Linked DNA regions of Neodiprion lecontei. The protein of the gene in region 2 binds, or shares a complex with, the protein of the main gene of each other region. Links are inferred from orthologs where the notes say so. Each region holds a gene or a part of one and is shown on either strand. Other genes may lie near its edges.

Region 1 (4,738 bases), on a different chromosome or scaffold from region 2:
GCTGTGATGGTACCCAATATCGATTCAGGTATTCTGCCAGCTTTTTTTAAAATCAGATCCAGCGATCCGCCGTCCATGTATTCCATGCATATGCTAATTTCGCCATCGCTAAAACAGCAATAACCATTGAAAAAAGCTGAAGTTTTACACAACAAGCAAATTGACGACATTAGCAAAATTATACCTGTAAAATGCTCCGTAGAAGCCTACGATGTGTGCGAAATTACACTCGTGGAGAACTTTGAGTTCCCTTATTATTTGTTTTTTGATGGCTGGTTTTACCTCCAGGTGGATCAGCTGAAATTACAACGAAAGAAATACAAGTTGATATATAAATATTCTGAATTATAGTTTACATTCAGCAGTGATAAATTCCAACATACCTTTCTAGCCATGATGAGACCGTACTTTTTGTGCCTGACTTTCATAACAACGCCACCATTTCCTGCACCCAGCTCTCCTAATTTTTCAAAATCCTCATCACATAATTCACCAACTTTTTCTTTTTGACCAAGAAAACTTTCCAATCTTTTGCGTTGTTCTTCATCCATTTCTAGTTCTTCTAATCGCTCTTGGAGAGCGTCGATACTCATTTTTCCCATCACACCACTGCATCATTTTATTAAATTAATAAATGTAAACACACCCACAGATTTCGTGGCAACTGTATTGAGGCTGCTAGTTACGCAGAAACAATTTGAAACAATTTAAACATCTATGTCGTTATTTCACAGGAATAAATCCACCGACATTTCAATACATGAACGTCTCCACAAAATTAATAGTGACAATAAAACGGAAGGTGGAAATATATCGATATTACGCAATTCTTGGAATGTGTATGTTGTGATATCAGTCAATAATAAATTTCATAGAGTACATTCCTTGACGAATTGGAAGTATATTTACAGTAATGGAAACAACAATTGATCAAATTTGCTGTAAATAATAAATGATACTTGCTTATTCGGGGTAAACAATATGTTTCGAAATTCAATATTTATCAATATGTACCAGTATTTTGGAGAAAATGTTGAATATTGTATCTGAAACTTCGGTTGATCAAGCTTATCTTGTAAACTCTATTAAATTCTTGAGGAGTAAATGAAACTTGGTGAGCTATCGGGAAGCACGACTTGATGAACTTAGGGCTAAATATCGCATCCATTTATCATTCAAATTCAGTATTAGTGACAACTATAGTTTTGACAGCTAAAGTAATGAACTGTACAATTATAAGTGGGTTACATAAGTGACAAACATAAGTGACTCCAATTTTCAGGTTCAAGTTTGCAAGTAAAGGCAACATAAGAAATATGAGTATAGAAGGTTCACCGGATTGCAGTGAAAAACTATACTTAAGGTTTGCTATGTGTATATGATTTTCCTTCATTTGCGATTTCCTGAATTGTAAATTGGTAAATTGATTGAATTACTTATGTTGGTATTTTGTTATTGTGAGGTTCGAACTTCAATCACATTTCAAATTGCAGTTTTATAAGTTATGATTGACAAAATAGATTAGATATCAATCAACACACTTTTAATTAGACATGATATGCAGACTAGTATCTCATACATTTGTATAACAGGTTTTAAAATTGAACCAGATTGTCTAAATTAACTAGTAATCAATGAAACTGTAAGCATATCTAGTAGTTGCATCTGTAAAGCATATTCAAAAAAATTTACTACAAAGTTCAGATTCAAAAATCAATTTAGGTTAACAATTTCCATAGAAAGAATATAGACTAGTTAAATAAAAATATCCAGAATTGGAATCTCAAGCTTTTCGAATTTGTTCACATAACTCATGCAGACTATTAAGGAAACAGAAAAATGTATTTTGCTTAGAAACAGTACTATTTCTTCTACTGATAACTATTCACACTGGAATGTAAAGTGGAAAACCATTTATTGTAAAAACTGAATTTTTCTCATGGAATAAACTTTTACTATCATCAGTATCAAAATCGCTCTTCATATTTGCACGGTAACAATGACTGTAAGACAATGTCAAGTTTCTTACTTTTCTTAATCCTCCGGGGATAACATTCACTGGCAGCGCAGTTATCATCTCACATGTGTGTTGCGGTTGTAGATAATAACAAAATACAGTAATTCGCAAAACTTCTAATGACAGTATAACGGAGACCGAACTTATTCCATCATTTACTATGTGACTAGCGTACAAATTGCATCCAAATAGAGACGCTGTGGCGCGACTAAGCACGGTATATAGGATAGTGAATTTAAAAAACATTGAAGTGTAAACAATGATGGTTGAACGATTAATTACAGCCTAATCAACTCTTCCAAAAGGTATTACATACGAGGTATTATTATAAAAGAGTAAACTTACTCTGGAATCGGTACTGCAGGTTCGGTGTAAACAGGCAACGGCGGAACCGGTGGCGAAGGTGAAACTGCTGCTACAGGTTCTATAGAACCTGGAGGTAGAGTCAGGTTCAATTTGTTCTTTGACATTTGTTACGGTGTGTTGAAAGCCTTTGAAAATCAAGAAGTCTTCTTTGAAAGGTAAGAATGAAAGTCAGGAACACTGCAGAGCGTTGAGTATCTCCCGTTAGTTGGTGGCACTTTATTATCTACTCGAAATCTCGATTTATTGGAGTATCAGTTAGTCGCGCATTATCATCAATATTCAATAGCTAAAAGCTCAAAGCCATCAAATAGCTGTGCACACATATGTGTATTCAACGTGATGACGAGGCTAAGCTGTCAAACGTCGAACTGTCAAATATGTTTCAACTCCCTTTCCGTGCGGTATAACCGGATTGGGACAACAAAAGTTCCGGAATTACGTGAATAAGGGTTCGGAGGTGAGCCGGAGAACTGTAAAAAAACTTTCGACGGGGTTATGATCGAGAAAACGTATGAAGGGAGTGAAAGAAGGTTATATCGGTTATACGGATCCTCTTGCAAGTTGCAGGGCACTGTTACACGGAAATCGGCTTGGGGTGAACATACGTACTTCCCGCGTCCCAAGTTCTCGACTTACTGGGAACCGTTTACGATATATGTACGCTGACGATTGCCGGGAGCCGAGTTTAGCACAAATGCCCCTAGGCTGAGCCGAGTATAGTAGTTGTGTAGAAATTGGTGGAAATTTGCTGTGAGATGGTAAAGCAGCGCCACCAACGGGAATCGTGTTGCGGACATGTGGCGAAGCTTCAACCATTGTGACGTCTTTTCCTGTAATATCGTTCCGCGAAGAGGTATGAGCCGAGCCTTGTTATTTTACGAATCTGTGTGCATCTGAAATATAATTCAAGTTATCGAGTATTGAACCTATCAATTACGTACGCTAAACTCTGATCTACAATTCAAGTGGCGAAGTTTTGTGATTTTGTGTTTCAAGTTACAATTATTGTCTGTAAAACATACGTGCCAGCTTCATGGCGCCGCCTGATGTTTTCCACATTTCGGAATAATTTAAACTGTATTCGTTTTATTTCAGGGCAAAATGGGACGGTATTCTCGTGAGCCTGATAATGCGACCAAATCGTGCAAAGCACGCGGTTCGAACCTTCGGGTGCACTTCAAGGTAAACAATTTCACGCTTCTTTCATTATTTGAGAATAACCTAGAAATTTACAATCTGCGGATGCTTCTGCTCGTGGTGTAAATTTTGCCAAGATTCTGACAATCGTATTTTTATTACAATTGAGCGTTCGATCGTATTGCACATTCCATGCATTAGGTAATTTTCAAGAGTTTGTGTGGTGTCTTATGGAAATCGTGTGCAATGTGTATTTTATACGTATTGAAATTTCAAATTTCCAACTTGCCAAGATCTGAAAGAATATAGTATTTCAAACTGCTATTATTTGTTTCTGAAAATGCGTGTAAGCTCGCCTGATGTATAAGTGAAATATTAGTAAAGTTGCATTTTCTTATGCTTTTTCTTTACCTTTCCTCGTATTTCTGGCACTTTACTTATAGACCTTTGAAAGAATATTATGTACTCGAAATATACTTCGTTAATAGAGTTGTTAAAATTCTTTCAGAACACTCATGAAACTGCTCGTGCTATCAAGGGTATGGCTCTGCGTCGTGCCCAGAGGTATCTGAAGAGTGTCATTGAACACAAAGAATGCGTACCATTCCGCAGATTCAACGGTGGTGTTGGAAGGTGTGCTCAGGCTAAACAGTTTGGCACCACTCAAGGTTTGTATGTTTGCAAACACGCATGTTTTTCAACTCCTTTTAATTTCGAAGTAGTGTGAAAATTTATTTTAACAAAACTCATTAGTTGGCAATAACAGCACTATCTGAAATTTAACGAACTGCAATGGAGTAACACATACATATGTATACTGCAAATTCAACTCCTTCAAACTCATTAAAAGCTGCAAAATGATGAACTTTAGTAAATGGTCTGTTACATTATTACTAATTTAAATCTCAATTTTTCTCACTGCCATTGTAATTCAATCATAGAAGCAAGGTATGTAATGTCGAAGAAGTTAGAAAGAAAAATGTATAGTTTGGGTTTTTTTTGTGAAGTTCCAGGAATTACGCACGATTTCTAGAATTCTAAGACTTTCTAATTGACGTAAGAAAATTATGTACTCTTATTGTGTCGGTATCAAGCACGCAAAGTTTATAATTCATTGAGCATTAATTTATTTAGGAACTACAGCATATTTATTCTTGAAAATTGATTGCATTATAAAACAAAGCAGCCTGTGTATATGCTGTGCAAGCTTTACTTATT
Region 2 (4,846 bases):
AAGTTGCTTGATCTGTAACAATGCCTGCTGGATGAAATATAAAGAAATTTTTCTGTCACGCTACTCCCATAGGCCGGCTCTCTATAGTGAAACGTTGATTGAAGATTGTCAAAGGCAGCATTCTGAAACTCTGTACAAATCGGCGTGAGAAAACGAGAGAAGCTTCAGTACAGAAATTTCCGACCACTATCGACTCAACTGACATTGTAAACCCCATAAGCGAGTTAGTAAATGTAGGGTACCTATGGCTACGCATTGGCGGAATAAAAGCTTGTAGGAAAGCTATGTAACATTTTCTGAAAATTGCTATGGAAAGCCAGCTAAATTGAACTTTCTGAAGTTTGGTGAGGGATTGGGTGGGAGTAAGCTTCGGTAAGAATATTTCCTACTGTTACCGACCCAATTGACATTGGAATGCCATAAGTGAATCGGTCAATGTAGAGCGCTGCCAATACCCCCGCGCACCTCATGCCCTTTTGCATTATTCAAAGGAATGCACACGGCTAGCTGCTTTAGCAATACTCAATCACGTATGTAAGGAAACGAGAAATTTATGCATACGCCAGCTGTGGAGTTCTACTAAGTGAAGCGTTCACGACGGGAGTTGGAAAAACTAACGTGCTGCATTACCGAGAAAAGCTTGAGAGTGTTGCGAATCTCGTAGCGCTCTCTGACAAGCCAGGCTTCTGGAACTAATTTTCGAGGTGCATGGTAAAGGCATGTTGGTAACGTTTAATACTCTGCCGTATTTGGCATTACGAAAGCAGTGAATGATACAAAACACTTTTACGGCGATCAGCAGCAGCAGTAAAAATTGAACAAATTACGAACATCAACTTGCCTCCGTGATGCTAAAGACGGCAGTGTTGGTCTGTTAACAACATGCGCTTACCGACAATGCACCTCGAAAATTAGTTCCAGAAATCTATTTCGTGTCAGAGTGCGCTACGAAATCGGGAACACGAAAAACGCTAGCGTGGGCTCTCTCAGGCTTCTCTCTGTGCGTTGCCTGCAACGTTGATGGAGAGAGGTTACCAGTCTTCACACCACGGTCTTATAGACAAGTCTGGGCCACTGGTCTGGGCACTCCAAGCCTCTTCCTATACATATAACGCAGCGTGACCGTCTTGTAGCCTGTGTTTCTCAATTTGTGCACCAAAGACCGGAGCGCTGCAATCTCCGAAACCGGTGTATGCGTACTAAAGGAGGGAGGGAGAGGCCTACTTAGGCCGTGTTCGAAAATTGACTGACAGTACTGTCAGCAATCTTTCATCTCTTTTGCGCTTTCAAGTTCGTGAATAGCTCTGACTCTGTCCTAGGGAATTTTCAGTACTGTCAGTCAATTTACGAACACGGCCTAAGTAGGCCTCTCCCTCACTAGCGCTAGCGGCGAAATTTCACAACATCGGCTTCATTTTCGAGCACGGTTTTACAGCCGGAGTTCCCAGACCTGTCTATAAGACCGTGTTTACACCACTGATATACATTTCACACTCATGGACATGGAGCCTAGAGTTAAGGAGGTCGAACGGCACACGAGAATCATGATAAATTTGGACGCTGAAATCGTCGAAAAAGATATATGTTGGTTGTAGTTCGAAATTCAGCCACGAGCGCGCTTGTTTTGTCAGTATAGGCTAATGACCTTGAGTATAGGATATGAAGTATGGCATTGGTGATGCTATGAGGTGTGGAGTATTCGTTATCGACGCCCGGTCATTGCTGTAATAATAATACTTATATCCTATACTGACGACAGCAGCGCCACCACAGCCTATATATCTTTTGCGTCGCTTTCAGGGTCCACATCCATAGTACAGCGTTCGGGCTCCTTAACTCCAGGCGAATTGGGATCACAGCGAGGAGGGAGAGCATGAGGGAGAGTTTCGTGTTGGACGATCTTTAGTCAGAGATGAATAGCCAACCATGGCGTACGTCAATGTCGCAGAATGGAAGACAGATCAGGTGTGTGAGTGGTTGAAAGGTACGTGGAAGGCTTGATTATTACTTCGTAATATTTGTTATGCCACATTGTAAGTGCTTAGAATCGTACGTATTAATTCAGTGACGGTTTTTCGTATTATACGACGCGAAAACTCCATTTCCTGTATACGCCCCCCGGCCCTCGTAGTTTATTACGTCCATACATGTATGTTATACAAATACAAACTTCGTTTGTGAAGGCTAATTTCGTTCATTCAGTATGACTAATTGCGTAATCCATTGATAAATTCGATATGTGCGTGACTGAATGAACGTCTTTCGTTTGTTTTTGTTGTTCTAAAAATAATTCTCTCCTTTGTTACTTGAAACTTCAATGATGCATTCATTCCAGATCTGATAATTATTATGCATTCTTAGTCAGGGTGCATCGTTCAGGGTGATTGTATAAAATATCTTTCTGTAAAGTTCTCATACATTTTTACCCATAAATCAGATTCACTTTTGCCAAAGTCCTTTATATTTTTTTGACAATAATTTTTAACATTCATCATTTGCTAATACGTTCTTGCAATTCTCTCGACAGGCTTAGACAATTCGGTGTTACCGTACGTTCACAGTTTTATGAACCATGTTGTGAATGGTCAACAACTACTGAATCTCAGACCGGAAGACTTAGAACACCTTGGGGTACTGAAGCTTGGCCATCAAGAAATAATTCTCGAAGCTGTTGAGTATTTGAGAAACTTTCACTATGAACTTGACCATGAAAATTTGCAGCTTCTGGCATTACGACTGTCTTGTCAGGCCCACAGTCTGCATAATGAATTATCTCGACAAACCGATTCTAAACCCGTCACCACTCAAACTTTATCCGACGTAGCATCGGTTGTAACATCTCTGAAGCCTTTGGTCTGTTGGCTTGATCGATCTCCGTTTAGCGGCCAACTAGAATACAATGATAAAAAGGCCGAGTTGTTGAAGCTTTCCATAGAAATGGCGACCTGCGCTCAACGTGACAGATTCGCTGAAAGACCGATTGAAGAGATAAGAACTACTTGTGGACAACTAGCTAAATTGGCTGATTACATTATACAAGACATGGCCGATCCGATGATATTACAGCCAGCGAGTCTGGATTTAGCAACGTTAAAGAAAAGGCCAGGTGATGATTTGGTAAGTAATGAAAAGTAATCGTTTTTCTATAGCATTTTTTCTGATATCTTTCTTTTGACAATGAAATCAGCTTCATAATTAACTTATTCAATTTCTCATATACATCGTATGATACTATGCAATATATATTTAAAAGTTGTGCAATATTTATATAAAACAGTAATAATAAGATTTAATTTGATCGAGATAAAGTTATTGTTAATTGAGTAAAAGATTCTTATGAGACTTTTCAATATTATCAATAAACATCAATGAATGCTTAGCAACCACATCCGTTTGAGATAAAGCATGAATGTCGGTAAGATTGTCATTTCCTCTGCAGATAATACTTCTTGTGTACAATCTGAATTTAATACGACCATGGAGTTCTGTATTCTACTTACAATTCAATTATGGAACCTATTTCAGCAGTATGAAATACTATTTAAATGCAATTACAAGGATTTATACAGAATTCTTTTGTCCGATTAAATTATCTCATATAAAATCAATCTTTTAATAGTGTACGTAGTGATGACTAATTTTCATGTCTACGCTAATACAGGGTGTCTCATTTTTTTAAATACGCACCAATATATCGAAATTTAATCATTAAATTGAAAGATGTTTCGGTCAAAAGTGAAAAAAAAGTTTTTAAAAATCTGACCAAACAACCTCCCTAGGGTATACATCAAGTGACGCTAATTCCCACAGTTCTTAAATGCTTGGCAATGCTTAAAAACAAACATAAACAAGCGCCTAACCACTTTTCAACATTGAACAATTCTATTCATTGTAGAATTTGTTCTCATTTTTAAATTCTTGACAGTGATTGATGTATTACCACTTTTCTCACGAGAAAACTTCTAATAAAGTTTTACGCTTATTTGAAGACGATAACTAAAAAATTACTAGGAGTAAAACTTACTTTTTAATGAGAAATACGAAAGTAAAATAAAAAATAGCAGGTTCCATTTGAAAAACGAAAGTTGGGCCCCAATGGGCCCAGCAAAGGCCCCAGATCCAAAAACTGGGATGCTCATCTGATGTCCCCCTTCATATACAACAATTTTTGTCCGACACATTGTTCAATTTAATGCTTAGTTTTTGATATATTTGAGCATATTTTCAGCAATAGGACACCCTGTATATATATATCAAGATTAAAACGCAATACAGTTGTAAATTTTTTACTCACAATCAGATGAATAATTTCATGATTAATGTTCCATGATAAATATTGTTAGTTGAAATAATTCAAAAATGTTTTATGTTCAGGGCTTCTACATATTGCCATCGTTCCATGGTGCTCATCAAATAGCTGAAATTAAATTCGGATCTGCAGCACATCAATGCGGTAAAATGGAAGAAGGTGATGAAATTGTCCAGGTAAATAACCGATCAGTTGAATTTATTGCATGATTAATTTAAATTTGAATACCGACATGGCATAATTTTCCAATAAACAATTTTCCTCATATGATTGAGGCTACCTAAAAAAAAAGAAGAATTTCTAAACAAAATCTCTATTCCTTTAACATTGATATATGTTGGAAAATAATAGTTAGACATCATTAGTGGGAGAAATTGTATAGGTATGTGAGGAGTAATATTAGGAAGAATGAGATACTGATCAAGTAGGCCTAATTTTAAACAACTGGTTTTGCAAGCTTGCATTCACCATGAATATGATACATGTGAAACATAATTTTCAAATGACACAAGATATTGAGTTTTCCTATGGTCATTA

What was found.
Region 1: the proteins of uncharacterized protein LOC107223905 (region 2) and dual specificity mitogen-activated protein kinase kinase dSOR1 are in contact, whole or in part, in a cryo-EM structure (PDB 8BW9), measured with the Drosophila melanogaster proteins. The link is inferred for Neodiprion lecontei from reciprocal best matches to the Drosophila melanogaster genes cnk and Dsor1. Residues at the interface, in NP_001286524.1 of Drosophila melanogaster: Arg46, Tyr48, Arg72, Tyr76, Thr92, Lys95, Asn96, Arg99, Arg103, His117, Arg121; in NP_511098.1 of Drosophila melanogaster: Arg200, Gln255, His258, Gln262, Tyr319, Val321, Asn322, Glu323, Pro324, Lys347, Gln348, Asp350, Glu351, Arg352, Ala353, Asp354, Lys356.

What each region holds. Positions count from the first base shown.
Region 1 is NC_060263.1:21,129,147-21,133,884, forward strand, and holds the start of dual specificity mitogen-activated protein kinase kinase dSOR1, read right to left. Parts: upstream 3,020-4,738; 5' UTR 2,488-3,019; coding exon 2,363-2,487; intron 610-2,362; coding exon 384-609; intron 298-383; coding exon 185-297; intron 109-184; coding exon 1-108. Other genes in the region: 60S ribosomal protein L17, read left to right, coding at 3,485-3,565, 4,029-4,188. UniProt on the Drosophila melanogaster protein: Required downstream of Raf in the sevenless (sev), torso (tor), and Drosophila EGF receptor homolog (DER) signal transduction pathways.
Region 2 is NC_060260.1:24,524,615-24,529,460, reverse strand, and holds the start of uncharacterized protein LOC107223905, read left to right. Parts: upstream 1-1,820; 5' UTR 1,821-1,926; coding exon 1,927-1,984; intron 1,985-2,527; coding exon 2,528-3,117; intron 3,118-4,374; coding exon 4,375-4,485; intron 4,486-4,846.